Linked DNA regions of Bombyx mori. The protein of the gene in region 1 interacts with the protein of each later gene in a biochemical or structural test. Links are inferred from orthologs where the notes say so. Each region holds a gene or a part of one and is shown in the gene's direction. Other genes may lie near its edges.

Region 1 (8,175 bases):
ACAGGACTGTCTTGTATAGTTATCTCGACCATATCAGATGGAGTAGGCTCTGCATTATTTTGTTTCTCAATTTCCGAGGCATCATTCCCTATATCATTTTCAAATTGAGTCGGCTCTTCGGGTCTCAGGTACCACTGACGAGCAGGTCCAGGGCCTGGAGAAGCACCATCATCATCATCAAGTTCCACTGTTGTATTAGCTATTGGTATTTTTGGTGATATTTTTATTAATTTCTTCTTCATATTTGGGTTAGTTATATGTGGGGTGGCTAGTTTCATGGTATTCATTTTTTTAACAGTTATGGAAGCTGGTAACAATCCCTTTGGTTTCGCATTCTGTATCAAAATTGGATTCGGTACAAGATTTTTATTATACTGCTGTGGAACATTCCCTATTCTTGCATTATTCATGTTGACCAAATTGACTGGAATTCGGCACCCTGTCATCTTACTTTTTGGTGATTGTCTGATATACTGTCTAACAACTGGTCTTGGTGAAACTGAATTATTCTTCTGAATAGCACATCCATTATTCTTTAATTTCATTGAAACTGGATTAACATCTTTAGGGATTTTAGTAACTGTAATTGACCTACCCACTAACGACAGTGGGAGAGCACTATTAGACGGCTTTGCGGGTTTTATAGTTATTCCACAAAGATTATTTGGTATGTGAACCATGGCATTCGGTCGAGTTTTTGCCTGAAAGTTTATAACAATTAAACAACTTGTTTAGGTTTGGTGGTCTATCAAATATTATATGCAAAAGTGCGCTAAATTTAATTATATATTAAATTGGGTACATACTTTCTTTGGCGCTGGTTCAGTATCATCATCTGAAGAACCTAATTCTATCACATCTTCGCTTGCCATGTTGCATCAATGTTAATCGGGAATGTTAATATTTTTGTAATCGATTATAAACCTTGTAGGTTACAAACTTGGAATATTTTGCTTCATTACTCTAGCGAAATACGTTCATTTTTTCATAAAACAGGAAGGAAAGTTATATCAACAAATAAATAGGTGCATCAACGAAAGCCTACAATCGCGTAAAGTGTATAATCTATGATCGCGGCAAAGTGCGTAGGTACATAGATGGGCCCAATCGGAATCGATCTTTTGGAAAATCGATCTTTAATTTTAATCGCCTTACATCCACATCGGCTCACATTTTTATTACCTAAATGGGATTTAAAAAATGAGTAGTTTTAGATCTAAATTGACAAAACCATTGTAATTCTTGGGTTTTCCAGAGTCATACATGGAATTTATTACTGGTGGTAGGACCTCTTGTGAGCCCGCGCGGGTAGGTACCACCGCCCTGCCTATTTCTGCCGTGATGCAGTGATGCGTTTCGGTTTGAAGGGTGGGGCAGCCGTTGTAACTATACTTGAGACCTTAGAGCTTATATCTCAAGGTGGGTGGCGCATTTACATTGTGGATGTCTATGGGCTCCAGTAACCACTTAACACCAGGTGGGCTGTGAGCTCAACCACCCATCGAAGAAATAAAAATAAAACTACATTTACGACTATATATATATATATATATATATATATATATATATATATATTTAGTTAAATATTATTTAATAGTACACTAGTACACACATCGAGTGACTCGGGGTACCGTAGTCAGCGCCCCAACTACTGGGCTGAGAATTGTGAGTTCGGAATTCCATTTTGGAGAATCGTACGTGTACCTAAAATATTTTTTGTCTTTATTGGAACGAAGTTCCTTACGGCAGGCTTGGAGGGGATAGGGATATTGCTGCGCGACCGAACTGAAAAAAATGTGATAGTAAAACCGTAAGGAAAAATCCGTGGAAAAAAGTGCGTGGAATAAAACCGTTAAATGAGACGTGCGCAGGCGCGACAGTCGTATACACAAGCGAGTAGTGTATAATACCTTTCTCTTTCTCCCTCTTTCTTTTCGTTCTCTCATCCTTTCTCTCTCTATTTTGTAATTATTTCTATTTCTATGTAATTTTATGTTGTCAAACAAAACTAAAGAGACATATTTTGTTATTTTAATTGATAATTTTGATAATTTGAATTACGATTTTATTTTTATTTTACGTAATTTATTATTTCCTAAAATACTGAATTTCCTAAATACTTTCCTGTACTTAAATAAAAACTAATCAGCAAAATTTAAGAGAAAAATCAAGAAAACCAACATAAAAATGAGCACGATTTTTTTTTGCAAATTGTGTCGATTCTACGTTAGCCGAAGGAACTTCGTTCCTACCTGGTGTCCCACGACACCACTTTTTTTTTTCTTATTTTATGTTAAATGTATATACATTTATTTATTTGGAAAAAAGGAACAGTACAAAACACCCATAAAATACATTCAAAATAGATATACAAAAAGTAAACAAGTTTGCACTATTAACATTACAGGTAAGTAGAAAGTAAACAGAAAAATAACTTTAGGAAGACCTTAATAAATAAAAGTTTACAACAAGGTAACAAAATACAACAATTACAAAACTTTATACTAATTATTGCTACACGTCGGACATTACTAACCTTTCAAAAAATATTCCCAAATAGCATTATAAATGCAAACGTGTATATATTTAAATTTACGTAACTAAATCTCTATTTCCGATAGTAGAAGGTATCCTAGCTTGAGGGCAAATGACGTTTGTGATTTGTGTATAATTTTGATGAAATTTCGCAGAAAGTTAATAATATTTGGTGAAGTGGCAGACCGCGGTAAAATGCACTCGCTGTGAAACGGCGCGTCGCGTCGGCGCGAACGGAACTGAAGTGTTGTTTGTTGCGTTCGCTTCACCAAACATATAAGCATGCTCATGGGGCTCAATCTGGGAGACTTTGTAAACATCCTCTCTAGAGCAATGCTTCGCTGAATCTACCACCGGATCAAAATCACAACCCTCTGAGAAAATCCGTTGAGTAACTCAGTGGGCTCAAACTCTTTTTGCGCTCGCTGCATGACATAATACATGTGATCAGGGACGTCTTAAATTAGGCTGGGGCCCTTGGACACACAAGAATTTGAGGTCCTTTTGGAAAGTAAAAAAAGCGAATTATAATAACATTTTTTACTCAGTATGACCATTTATTATAGGTAATCAAATACGGTATGATATAATATGTCATTAATGATATTAGAATACTGCTGGTTTTTTGGTTACGATCACGATAACGGAAACCGAATAAATGTGTGAGAGAAATTGTCGGTCCTTAGGGGGCCCCTGAGAATGGGGTCCCTGGGAACGGGTCCCGTGTGCCCTTATGGTAAAGACGGTATTGCATGTGATGGTAATCTTTGAACAATGTCCTCTCAAGAAATTCGCGGTCAGTGTATCGCCCTCAAGATGTGCCGACAAAGGAGAGTCGTTAGCGGTGTTTGTTCAAACGGCTATGTTTAGTTGGTTGATGTACTGATAGTTTATATTTCGTTTCGTTTGTATTTCGCCGCACGCCCCCAGTAGTGATAGGCAGCTCGTTATCTAGGGATTCGCTGCCCTAATCACATCGTAATAATACTCATAGTAAATGACATGATCGAACAACACCCGGTATTTTTGCTATTTTAAATGAGACAGTGTATTTGCTGATTCATGATTTCGGATTGGTGATCTACAAATAAACTTAAAAAAACAAAATAGTTAATGGAGCGGAGAGTGATACAACCATAGAGTTAGTATACTTATTAACTCCATGGATACAACTGACACAAGTAACTTTTTTTCGGATAAGCTATTAATCTAGTTTTTTCTATGCTATAAAATATACTAGTACCTACTATTTTTTTACTGATCTGTGGATGTTTGTGCGTTCGTCCACAGATTAATAATGTGTGGGTCCGCCAGAGAATTGAACTAAATTGAACTAAAAATTGAAATAATTGAACGGTAGAAATTGTCAAGAAGAATGTGTTTGTTGAAGCTTGACTTATACCTAATTGGCTAAAACAAAAAGTCAAAGAGAAAGTATATTATTTAGCCAATCATAAGTCTAGGTTTGGCTCTTCATTTAACAAAATTTCACCGAACACTGATCTGTGATACAAAAACTCAAAAAAGTCAAGCTGTCAAAATAGATCTTGGAATTTAATAAATTATTAATCTATTTAATTGATTAGTTAGGAAAATGATTAAACTTTTTTCATTAAAACAACAGAAAAAAGATGAAGAGGGTTCTACCAGAGGAGGAGGATCACAAAAAAAAGCATCAGCAGCCCAATTACGAATTACAAAAGGTTCTAGGCGATATTTTCAGTGTTTACTAGATTTTTCATGTTTAATTAAGCATTACCAATGAATTTCCTGTATTTTATGGCAGAAATATATTGGCAACAAATAAGATTTCATTAAAATTAACTTGTTATTTTATAAGATTTTATAAGCTTCATTTCATGACCAATATTAATGTATCCACAGATTTGAATGAATTGAATCTACCGAAAACATGCAACACAGAATTCCCTGATCCGGATGACCTATTGAATTTTAAATTGATTATATGCCCAGATGAAGGATTTTATAGAGGAGGAAAATTTGTATTTAGCTTTAAGGTGAGCTTTTGTTCATTATTCATTAACATCATAATTAACCTTAAGATAACTTTCGATGTGTTCACCAGTAGATCACATTCATTATCTCAGAGCTTAATCACTTCATATGGCAATATTGTTGGGTACAGGAAAAAAATTACGAATGGTCTTTGTATGCAAAACTTGGAACTATAAGAACTGATTCAAAATCTGTATTTTTTACAAACTAAAATCATATGGCTTGGAATAGTTGGCTAGTTTTTGTAAAAAAACATCATTACATGATTGTATTTTAAAAATTTACTGGTCTGAATAAAAATTTAATCTGTTGATTCTGACTTGGTATTAGGTGGTCAAAGTTAGTGTACAACTGGGTAAGCCCTGTGATCATGTCTATATCTCTTCTATAATACTTTTACTATATTCTGGTTTTAAGCATTGAACATCTGATGCCGAAGTCCTCGTCGACATGATGGGTCTGTGTTGGATGGCTGGATGGCCTCACCGCTGTTGACTGGTCAGTAGGGATGCTTATAGTGGAGATCCCATCGGAACCTGCCTGTGTCTGTGATTACCATCCACAAATTTAACATTAGAGTGAAGCCTGATGGTCATACATGGGGTAGACTGCGATAGACTATGATTTTTTTTGTGGTTATTGATCTCTCTCTCTTTCTCTCTCTCTCACACACTCATGCACTAATGTTGGTACACCACATTCTACCTTGTTCCTATTAATATAGGTAGATGAGGTGTGAATCTTTAAGAGCATCTAAAAAAACAGAAAATTTTGAAGTAATACTGATGATCATCGCTGATGATGATAACTGCCACAGCTGTTTTTATTTTTATTTCATAGGATCATATGATTAACCAGTTGCGCATATTAAGTATTTAACTGAGCCCCACACCCTACAATGTGAACGTCACAAGTCATCATAGAAGTGTGCAGACAAAAGAGGACAAAGTTTCATTAATTGATAAAGTGTAGTAATAAAACATAATAACAATACAACATAACAAAAAAAATTAAAAGGTTTCACATGTTTGTACAATTCTTTTATGACATTGATCAGTCTATAGCAAAAACTTTCTCCTGTGTTATTTCGCCTATAACATCTTGAAGACAATAACACCCAGATCCTGAAAACCAAATATATTTTATCGACTCTAGGGGATAGTAGTCGCTAGCAACCTGACCAATGAGGCAGAACTTAGGTAATGATTCTTCAGTCAATTCATTTTTACTCAGAACAATTTATCAAAGGATGTTTTCAAATAATACTAACCAGCTGGAGCTCAGTAGCTAATACTTCTTTTACTATTGGTTAAATTAACTGTCCCTCAATTGAATATGTACGTTTATAGTAATAAATATTTAATATTATACAAAGTCCACAGTCTTTTTGCTGAGAAGCTGCTGAAAAAAAGCTTTGACTTTGAAGTTGGCTGAACTTCTTTGTTGTGTCTTGAAAAAATTGCAGACAAAATAATAAAAACATTTCGATTATTGAGTTCAGAAGCGAGATAGTTGGGGTCTTGATTGTAACTTTGCAATAACTCCTAATTTTGGATTTTTTTAACATCTTGTACTTGATCAAACTCAGTGATCGGTCCGTGCGGTTCTAAATAGGAGACAGTTTGAGTATAGTTATTAATACAATCTCAGACCACAGGCTATGATATAATAAACTAAAAACGGACCCCAGGCGAACCTTGAGGTTTGTCGAGGACTTCAAGGTGATCCCTCCCTCTATATTCTCCTTCTTTAAGCCTAATCTTTATAGATTACAAACTTATGTTATGTTACACATGGGTAGGTACCACTATCCTGTCCATTTATGCCGTGAAGCTGTCATGCGTTTCGGTTCGAAGGGTTGGACGACCGTGAGAGGAGAGTTAAGTCAGCGGCTCGTCTCAAGTGACTAGCAGCATTTACGCTATGTTATCTCCGATAAATATTACGTAGATAATACCATATCGGCCGTAAGCTGAAGTATTCTAGAAATGCTAAAACACTTTAGTAGATAGTAAGTAACTTGTATCTTTCTAACAAATATTTTTAACCAATTTTCAGGTAGGACCAAATTATCCTCACGAGCCGCCCAAAGTCAAATGTGAAACAGCAGTTTATCATCCTAACATAGACCTCGAAGGCAACGTGTGCCTGAATATACTCAGGGAAGATTGGAAACCTGTTCTCACAGTTAACTCCATAGTGTACGGTCTCCAGTATTTATTCTTGGTAAGCCCACTAAATTGATATAAAGACATAGCAATTAAGAACTTCTCATCAAACAGTTTTCTTTTTTTGGTTTTTCTTTTCCAGAAATTGACAAGTTTTGGTGTAATTATGATTATTTTCGTTTTTTTTTTTATTTCAACCTTTCAAATACTTCAATTTTCGTATTCACCGACAACTGTGAGTCTTTAAAGTATTTTTAATTATGTGTAGGACTCACGAAAACCAACGAAATAACTGCTGGTTATGGTTTGATGAAAAAGTTTATGTTTGAAGTAATATTAAATTTAGAAAAATGTATTAATCTCAAGAATGTTTCGGAATCTGAAGAAATTTACTGTACAAAATGCTCTTTTATCAAACTTAGGGCTGCCGATAAAAATCATAACTATAAAAATATTCGTATATTAGCAGTACTCGTAAAGATAAATATAATGAGATTAGATGGGAAAGTCGCTATTCGTCCGTCATCACACGTATTGCATTTTTATCTATTTTGGTGTACAATAACGCATACTCTCTCTTTCATTCACGGTATTGTATTTTATTTTTATCCAGTTTACGTGTACTTGTATAGTCTTGTATAATTGTATCCTATAACTCTCTGTGGAGAGAGTTCTTTGACGAATTGAGAAAATTTCATCATTTTCATTTTATCTTCGCACGAACTGTCAGCAAAGCTTATCTATACTCGCGCCACCCACCTCGAGATATACGTTCTAAGGTCTCAAGTAATAGTTCAACGGCTGCCCCACCCTTCAAACCGAAACGCATTACTGCTTCACGGCCGAAATAGGCAGGGCGGTGGTACCCACCCCCGCGCAGACTCACAAGAGGTCCTACCACCAGTAAAAAACATGTATTGGAATTGTTTTTTTTTTTTTTTAGGAACCAAACCCTGAAGATCCCCTCAACAAGGAAGCAGCTGACGAGCTCCAAAGCAACAGGCGACTTTTCGAACAACACGTTCAGAGAGCTATGCGAGGCGGCTACGTCGGCACATCTTATTTCGAACGATGCCTCAAATGAAAACCTGCACACGTGTAAAAAATGCTAACAACCATATAAATAATAATAAAATCTCATTTTAATGTTTTTCTATTGTTTCGTTTTTATTTATTTAATATTGTTTTTAAAAAAAGCCATCTCTAATGCCATGCCCAACAAGATATCTAAAGTACAATTATTATATTGAGAAATCGTTTAATTCACTTGAATTTCTCTTATAATAATTTCATAACAAAATATACGAGTCGTATCGATCGATCCTATATTTTTCGAGTTGATATCAAATTCAAACACAGTTATGTCTTCATAGTTAAACTTAAAAAAATGTCGCTAGTGGCGCTTAGGTCATTGTAAATAAAGAACTGCATTCAACAATTCTTTCATTTGAATACC
Region 2 (8,094 bases), on another chromosome or scaffold:
AACTTTACTTTGAGAATATACAAACTTTTCAAGCTTTTTATTAAAGTTAATTTCCATGTGAATTTTATTCACAGACTCACCTTAGATTTTTTTTGAAAGTCACTTGATCCAAGAACTTTAAATTCTTTTTGTTTTTCAGCATAAATTTTTTCTTTTGGTTTTGGAGGTGTATTTGGTTTTGGTATTTCCGTTGGCAAATCATCATTAGTAGAAACGGGAAGGTCAGGTAAAATTTCAGTTTGTTTTTCTTCTTTCAAAGTAATGACATCAGACGATTTTTTTACTGAAAATGCTTTTCTACGTTCTTCAATTCTTTGCTTCAATTGTTCTAGGCGTTTTGCTTCTTGTTCTATTATATGTGTATCATCATTTGTGTCATTATATCTGGAATATAAACTTACCTAAATCTTGAAACCTTTATTATTATGTTCTAAATATAAAAAATATCAATTTGAATTGAATGTTAAGAGTGTGGGCTATTGTTGTAAGAACTGGCCTTCTAACTATATGTAACTATCATAGGTTTATTAAAAAGAATAGTTGTTGCCTAGGAACAAGTACTTAGTTGTGTACTCATGTAAAAAAAGGTCAGTTTAAACATCCGAAGTTTGTTTTATTATCAACCACAATTGTATCCTAAAATTTCGGAATCTAAATATATACGTGTACCTATCTGTTGGTATGTTAATAGTTAGTTTTCATTGCTAAATTTTTTAAATGATAATGATAACTTGGTTCAAACCTGTTAATAATAAATAAATCCATGGTGGCGATCTGAAATTAAAGACTAAAGCTACGCAACCTCAGAACAACTATGATGAGATCTCTTGTTACGGTTTATTGAGATATTCTTTCAAAAATTGGATAAGTAATTCATTAATTTAAAAATATAAGGGTTACACATGTAAAAACTTCATTGTTTTCAAAAATATAACCTCTTATAACCTCATAGAAGTACATAGTTCAGTTGATTTCATCTACTTAAGAGGCACAGGGAATATGGCCCATGTGTTCCTATGAAATGGAAAATAAATGAGATGAAGTGGGCAATCTAGGTACTCAGAATCAAAAGACTCATTTGAAAAATCTATTATATCAGGTGTAGTTTAGAACTCGCGTAGACTAAAGTATAAGATGCTCAGTGCATTCGTATTAAGCGATGCAACGGTATTTGAATGCCGGAGGCGGGTACCTTTTTTTCTAATGAAATAGGTACTTAACAAATGTTTCCGATTGATTTTCATGGTGAAGGAATAAAATCGTGTAATAAAAAAAAAAGGTGAGCTTGCAACTTGAGGCACGCGAAAAAAGTGTAACTTCTTTTGTCATGTGTAGTATTGTGGTTTTCTCCATTATTGAAAATCAAATCAAATTTCTCTTGTAATAGCGAATGCTGTGTATAAGATAAACGACCACTTCACCATTTATAGATATTTTAAATGATATATATAGAATTTTTTTTTTTTTAAATCCTTAATTATAAATATTATTTAATTATAATATTATATATAATATAATACATATATTAATTAAAAATAAGCAGGGTGGTGGTACCCACTCGTGCAGACTCACAAGACGTCCTACCACTAGTAGTTATGCAAATTATAATTTTACTGGTTTTATTGAAGTGAAACTACTATAAGTGCATTGAGAGTAAAATTTAACTCACGATAGATTCGTAACGACTAGAGAGAACAGATACAATTTAGGACCAGCGAGAGGGAGAAAATATACAGAGCGTCTCGCGAACCACACGACCTTGAAGAGAGCGAGAAAGCGAGCTAGATTGATTTTTTTATACACATTCTGTTTACGGGCGTTGGCCACTAGATTGCTTGTTATTAGTTTCTCATTGCTCCTGTAGATGGCAGTAACATATTATCTATCTTAAATTTTATTTTTAACTATGGATTAAAAAAATATATTTTTCTATATATAATTTAAAATATATATAAATGGAGAAGAGATCGTTTCTCTAATACATAGTATTCCCTATTGCAAGAAAAAATTGATTTAAGTTTGAAAAATGAAGAAAACCGTAATACTACACACTGCAAATTTAGTTACACTTCTTTCACGTGTCACGTGCCTCAAGTTGCACGCGCACCTTTTTTTTTGTAATTCACAACAAATGTAATAGGATAATTTTGTATAGTAAAAAAAAACTCATTCATCAATAATTGTATTTATAAAAATCCTAATTATATTATTTCCAATTAACAACAACTTACCTCTGCAATCTGCATATTTGAAGTTATAGTAATAAAAGCAGAAAATAATGATAAATTATTTTCATACTTGGCGCTCAATATACAGGGTATCTCAGAAAGAATTGATAATACTGAAACACCTCATAGTAGAGCTATTGGGGACACAAAATAAAAAATAAAAAATAAAATCTTAGGTAGCACCCAAATTAAAAATAAAATAAAAATACCAAATTTCATTATTAAAATTGAAGTTCAGATTAACTTTTATAAAAAATTACACTGGCTACTCATGCGATTTTCTACATATTCCTTAGTATAGTCCATATAAAATATTATAACACCAAAAAGCTTATGGATTTCATTTATTTGTAGCTGTTATATATTCCAGAAACGCACAGCAGTATGGAAAATATCAACTTTTTTTTAAAATACATAATTTGGGTACTACCTGAGTTTTTTTTATTTTTATTTTTTTTTGTGTCCTCAATGGCTCTACTATGAGGTGTTTCAGGATTATCCATTCTTTCTGGGACACCCTGTATATGAGTAAGACTCTGTAAGACGCCATAAGCCTTTTAATTTATAAAAAAAATAATTATGTTAGTAAAAAAGGTTTTTTTGTAACCGAATATTGTTAGTTTACTAATTTGCTGATTAAAAATTTACATTACCTACTCATAATATGGTTTTGAAAGAAACGACTGTTTAGACGATAAATTTGAAAAAAAAAACATGACTATTTTACGGCCCTGAACACAATGCTGTTGGCCTATAATGGTCTCGATGCCTTTGGCTTGTAATTATCTACAGTGAGTACTGTTCAATAGAGGTCTGTGTACCTAAAAATGCAAAATAAAAAATTGACAAAAAATCTATGGTCACTTAAATGAGGTTTTAGTTTTACCTAGTTTTTTGCAAATTTTTTCTCGTGTGAATTAATGTTGATTAAACTGTTTTCAACTAATTAGCTCTCGTTAGGTCTTAATATTTTAAAATTATTTTTGGAAGAGACACTGATAGGATTTGCACAATGGCTAATGTGTCTTACCATATAGCACATCTTCTTGAGAAGGTAAGCCGGTTAATTTGTTAACTAGTTCAATGTTTTCGTATCTAATAAGCTCGCATTTATTGAGGATTTTCTATTTATTTCGTAGATGACATCCAATGATAAAGACTTCAGGTTTATGGCTACTAATGATTTGATGACAGAGTTGCAAAAAGACAGTATCAAGCTCGACGATGATTCTGAAAGAAAAGTAGTAAAAATGCTTCTACGATTACTCGAAGACAAGAATGGTGAAGTTCAGAATTTAGCTGTGAAATGGTTCGTTTGATATTTCATAATTCCAAGCACAATAAATCTGAGTATCAATCCTGCATGTGATTCAATCCTGCATGTGATTTAACTCCCAATTTTTTAAGTTCTATTCAAACTACTTATGAAAAAGTATGGTAGAAGATAAAATTTCAATATTCGCTGTCGCAGATTTTTGTCATAGTTTTATGAAATTAGATAAGTTTCCTTTACAAAGTCAAGTCTAATAGTCTCAGTTGTTCTGTACTTTTATCAGTGTTAAATTTGTAAAATTACATAACTTTTTCTCAATTTAAACCAAATTCACTTAGGTATTTCAACTTTCTCATACTAAAAAAAATATATGTTAATCTTTTGCTCTATTGCTGCAAGAAAGAAGCACACACCAAAATATAGACTTTACTGATGATAATATTGTTAAAGTCATAATTTTATAATACTGTATACTGATATTAACAAACCAGTACCCTTGACAATAATTCACTTTCAGCCTCGGTCCTCTTGTAAACAAAGTAAAGGAGTATCAGGTGGAAGGTATAGTTGATACACTTTGTGCCAATATGCTTTCGGATACTGAGCAGCTAAGGGACATCAGCAGCATTGGATTAAAGACTGTAATTTCTGAACTCCCACTGGGTTCCAATACTCTTGCTGCTAATGTTTGTAAGAAAATAACTGGTAAATTGAGTAGTGCTATAGAAAAGGTACAGTATAGATGTTTAGATATTTCACTGGATTGTTCAATTTATTGCTCTCTTCAAAAAATAAACATGTCATTATTCTTCTTAATTTTTTCAGCAAGAAGATGTTTCAGTTCAACTTGAAGCACTTGATATTCTTGCTGATTTATTGAGCAGATTTGGTGGTTTATTGATATCATTTCATCCTATGCTGCTCAATTCACTGTTGCCGCAGCTTGCATCTCCCCGTCAGGTATACAAGTAGCAATGAAAACACCTGTGATCCAATTATATATTATTATGTATCCAAAGTTTGTAGGCTAACTTTTGGTTGTCCCGATATTTCAAAGTTAAAGGAGCCTACAGGAGCAGCTGTTGCTACCTTCATTGTCCCATTTGGACTCTTGATTATTATGTTTCTTGGTGGTTGGTCATACATTTCGGGAACACTTTATTGTTTACTATCAACATATAAAATAATAATGAAAATATGTAATGTAATAAATATTAAAATTAAATGTTCCATGCTGATATTAATTATATAATGCAATAGCAAGTTAAAATTTTATTTAATCAAATTATAAAGGTTTTTTGTCTTGTGAGCTGTGGTCAACTATTACCAAAAATGAAGAATTAAGGCAACCATAAATTTATTTGCAAAGAAAAGTAATTAACTATCTTAACTATCTTAACAGGTAATTTGTAGCTGTTATGGGTTAGGTGCTTTCACTATGTGTATTGTTAGCAGATATCTCAAATATACCAGTTTGAGCTGTGGGACAATTTAGGCACAGTATAAATTCAAACATTGAACTTATGTCTTTTAGTGGATGGCTGCATTCATATCCTAATATCTTTCAAACTCTGGTAATGACATAGAATTAGGTAGGTGGTGAGCTATCACCTAACGATATAGTCCATTACAAAAAAATTATGAAATATATATATATATAGCAAAGTATGAAGGTGTACGTTGATCCAAAATTTACGTAATATAATATTAAAAAATTCCAGGCTGTTCGCAAGCGCACCATAGTTGCGTTGTCACATTTGGTCATGTCTTGCAATGCTTCGCTTTATAACAAGTTAATAGACCATCTACTGGAGGGTCTGAGCTCTTCAACTTCATCAAGTGTCAGCCGAACACACATACAGTGCATTGCTTCTATATGGTATGTTGTGAGTTAATTGACATTTTTGTTCATTCATATTTTAATTTTGCAGCATGTGTAGGATCTAGGCAAGAAAAATTATATTAATTAGACTAAATTCTCTTGAAATTTGTTTATTTTAGTCGTCAAGCTGGACACCGATTTGGTGAACAATTGTGGCGTGTGGCACCATCAGTTTTGGAATATTCAAAAGATACAGATGAAGAATTACGGGAACATTGCTTGCAGGCTCTTGAAGCATTTGTCCTCAAGTGTCCTAAAGAAGTCCAACCACATATACCTACGGTAAATAGACATAATTGGATTTTTTTATTTTCATTGCCTATATAGATGAACAAGCTCAGGGGTCAACCTTGTGTTGTCAGTTATTGGAGCTCATTTACATCATGTACATGTACATTCATACAAGAATGAAGCTTTGAGACAAGAGGTTTAAGTCTTAATTGCATGGGATAATAGTTGTCCCAGCCTTCGAATCATAATGTATTATTCTTTCGTTACTGTAACAAATTTAGAAAAACCTTTGAAAACCTTTAAAATTTTTACGTTGTTGTAGGTTTTTTTCTCAATGCGCCTCTGTTAGTGTAGGTTGATGGTTAATAATGCAAAATTGTTGTTGTAATTTAATTCTATCTATTCAAAGTAGTTCTAGATGCATGTTAGATAAAAGCAAAGCATACAAAGATAAAGAAAAAACTTCAAGATCTAAACTGATAACTATTTTGTTTAAGATAATTGATCTATGCCTGAAGATGATAACATATGATCCAAATTACAACTATGAGGATGAAGAGGGAGTGTGTGATGATGACGAAGAAATGGAAGATGACACATACTCACCTGATGCGGATCCTGAATCTGACTCAGAAGAGTATTCGGATGATGATGACATGTCCTGGAAAGTATGTAATAGAAATAATGCAATTATAACTACTTTATTTTAACAGTGTATACTAATGTGTCCATCATGATGAGGGACGTTTCAAAATTAAAAGTGGGCCTAGCATGTCACAATTCATAGAACAATATGAGAAACAGATGCTTTTTGCAAATATACAAAATGTCCGAAGGTCTGAGGATAAGGGATTCTCCAGCGGCGACTATTCAAATTTTCACAACAGAATAGCATACAATCAAATAATAAAAAAAATATCCGATTTATTGTATTCATCATCTGGTTTATTAGTTTAATTTAGTTTTTTTTTATTTTGGCCTTGTCATGACTATCTTATTTGAGGCGTATATATAAATAGTAACTTCGACATTTGCTTACTATTTTTGATATTGTTTCAAGTGATTGAACCTCATATTATGAGTGTGAGTGGTGTTTTCTTCCTTTTTCGCGAGTTGCAAAAATTTTTTTAATTTTTTTTTATTGCCTAGATTTGTGGACAAGCTCACAGCCCACCTGGTGTTAAGTGGTTACTGGAACCCATAGACATCTACAACGTAAATGCGCCACATACGATGAGATATAAATTCTAAGGTCTCAGTATAGTTACAACGGCTGCCCCACCCTTCAAACCGAAACGCATTACTGCTTCACGGCAGAAATAGGCGGGGCGGTGGTACCTACCCGTGCGAACTCACAAGAGGTCCTACTACCAGTAATAACGCAAATTATAATTTTGCGGGTTTGATTTTTATTACACGATGTTATTCCTTCACCGTGGAAGTCAATCGTGAACAATTGTTAAGTACGTATTTCATTAGAAAAATTGGTACCCGCCTGCGGGATTCGAACACCGGTGCATCGCTATATACGAATGCACCGGACGTCTTATCCTTTAGGCCACGACGACTTATATATGTAATTAAAACTTCATTAACGGTTTAATATCACTTTTCTTATTATCATTATAAAATTTCCGTCGTTTCGAATACCTTACAGTTTTTGTGGCTACAGACGAGATTAAATAGTAAAAATAGTTTTAATCATTAGTTTAGGAGTAAAAGTTGAGGATTTTGTTCTTTTTGTTTATGATAACTTAATGACATATAGTACTTTCAACAAATGGGTGTACGTGACTGGCATTAATTGTTTCATGCATGATAAGAAATAAAAATTAAGATTTATCTTTTCAGGTGAGACGTGCTGCAGCTAAATGTCTTGAATCTGTGATAGCTACGCGTCACGAGCTCTTAGCCGAGATGTACCATACAGTTTCGCCAGCTTTGATTGCTAGATTTAAAGGTAAATATACTATCTAATAACATCTTTTACCTATAGAGTTACCTATGGACTGATAAAAAATGAGATCAAAGTCGTCATCTAATGGATAATATGTGCGGGGTACTCGTATCGAGCGATGCAACCATGCCGGCATTTAAATCTCGCTGAGATTTACCAATTATCTTAATAAAATACGTATTTGATTTATGTTTACAAATGACTACATTTTTACTGGTGGTAGGACCTCTTGTGAGTCCGCGCGGGTAGGTACCACCATCCTGCCTATTTCTGCCATGAAGCAGTAATGCGTTACGGTTTGAAGGGTGGGGCTTGAGACCTTAGAACTTAAATCTCAAAGTGGGTGGCGCATTTACGTTGTAGATGTCTATGAGCTCCAGTAACCACTTAAGACCAGGTGGGCTGTGAGCTCGTCCACCCATCTAGCAATTAAAAAAAAAGACTTCCATGCAGAAGGAATCTTATCTTCTAAAAAAGTCAAACTCGAAAAATTTTGAAGTCGTGTAATTACAGGTTGTATGTA

Evidence for each region.
Region 2: the proteins of ubiquitin-conjugating enzyme E2M (region 1) and cullin-associated NEDD8-dissociated protein 1 form a complex in vitro, tested with the Homo sapiens proteins (2 studies listed by BioGRID). The link is inferred for Bombyx mori from reciprocal best matches to the Homo sapiens genes UBE2M and CAND1.

The regions. Positions count from the first base shown.
Region 1 is NC_085121.1:6,067,795-6,075,969, reverse strand, and holds ubiquitin-conjugating enzyme E2M, read left to right. Parts: upstream 1-3,838; 5' UTR 3,839-4,129; coding exon 4,130-4,238; intron 4,239-4,419; coding exon 4,420-4,553; intron 4,554-6,609; coding exon 6,610-6,777; intron 6,778-7,662; coding exon 7,663-7,803; 3' UTR 7,804-8,152; downstream 8,153-8,175. Other genes in the region: uncharacterized protein LOC101745482, read right to left, coding at 1-701, 807-872.
Region 2 is NC_085111.1:7,839,934-7,848,027, forward strand, and holds the start of cullin-associated NEDD8-dissociated protein 1, read left to right. Parts: upstream 1-3,011; 5' UTR 3,012-3,240; coding exon 3,241-3,282; intron 3,283-3,367; coding exon 3,368-3,537; intron 3,538-4,018; coding exon 4,019-4,232; intron 4,233-4,326; coding exon 4,327-4,461; intron 4,462-5,222; coding exon 5,223-5,380; intron 5,381-5,502; coding exon 5,503-5,665; intron 5,666-6,111; coding exon 6,112-6,282; intron 6,283-7,465; coding exon 7,466-7,574; intron 7,575-8,094. Other genes in the region: probable ATP-dependent RNA helicase Dbp73D, read right to left, coding at 81-384, 743-765. UniProt on the Homo sapiens protein: Key assembly factor of SCF (SKP1-CUL1-F-box protein) E3 ubiquitin ligase complexes that promotes the exchange of the substrate-recognition F-box subunit in SCF complexes, thereby playing a key role in the cellular repertoire of SCF complexes.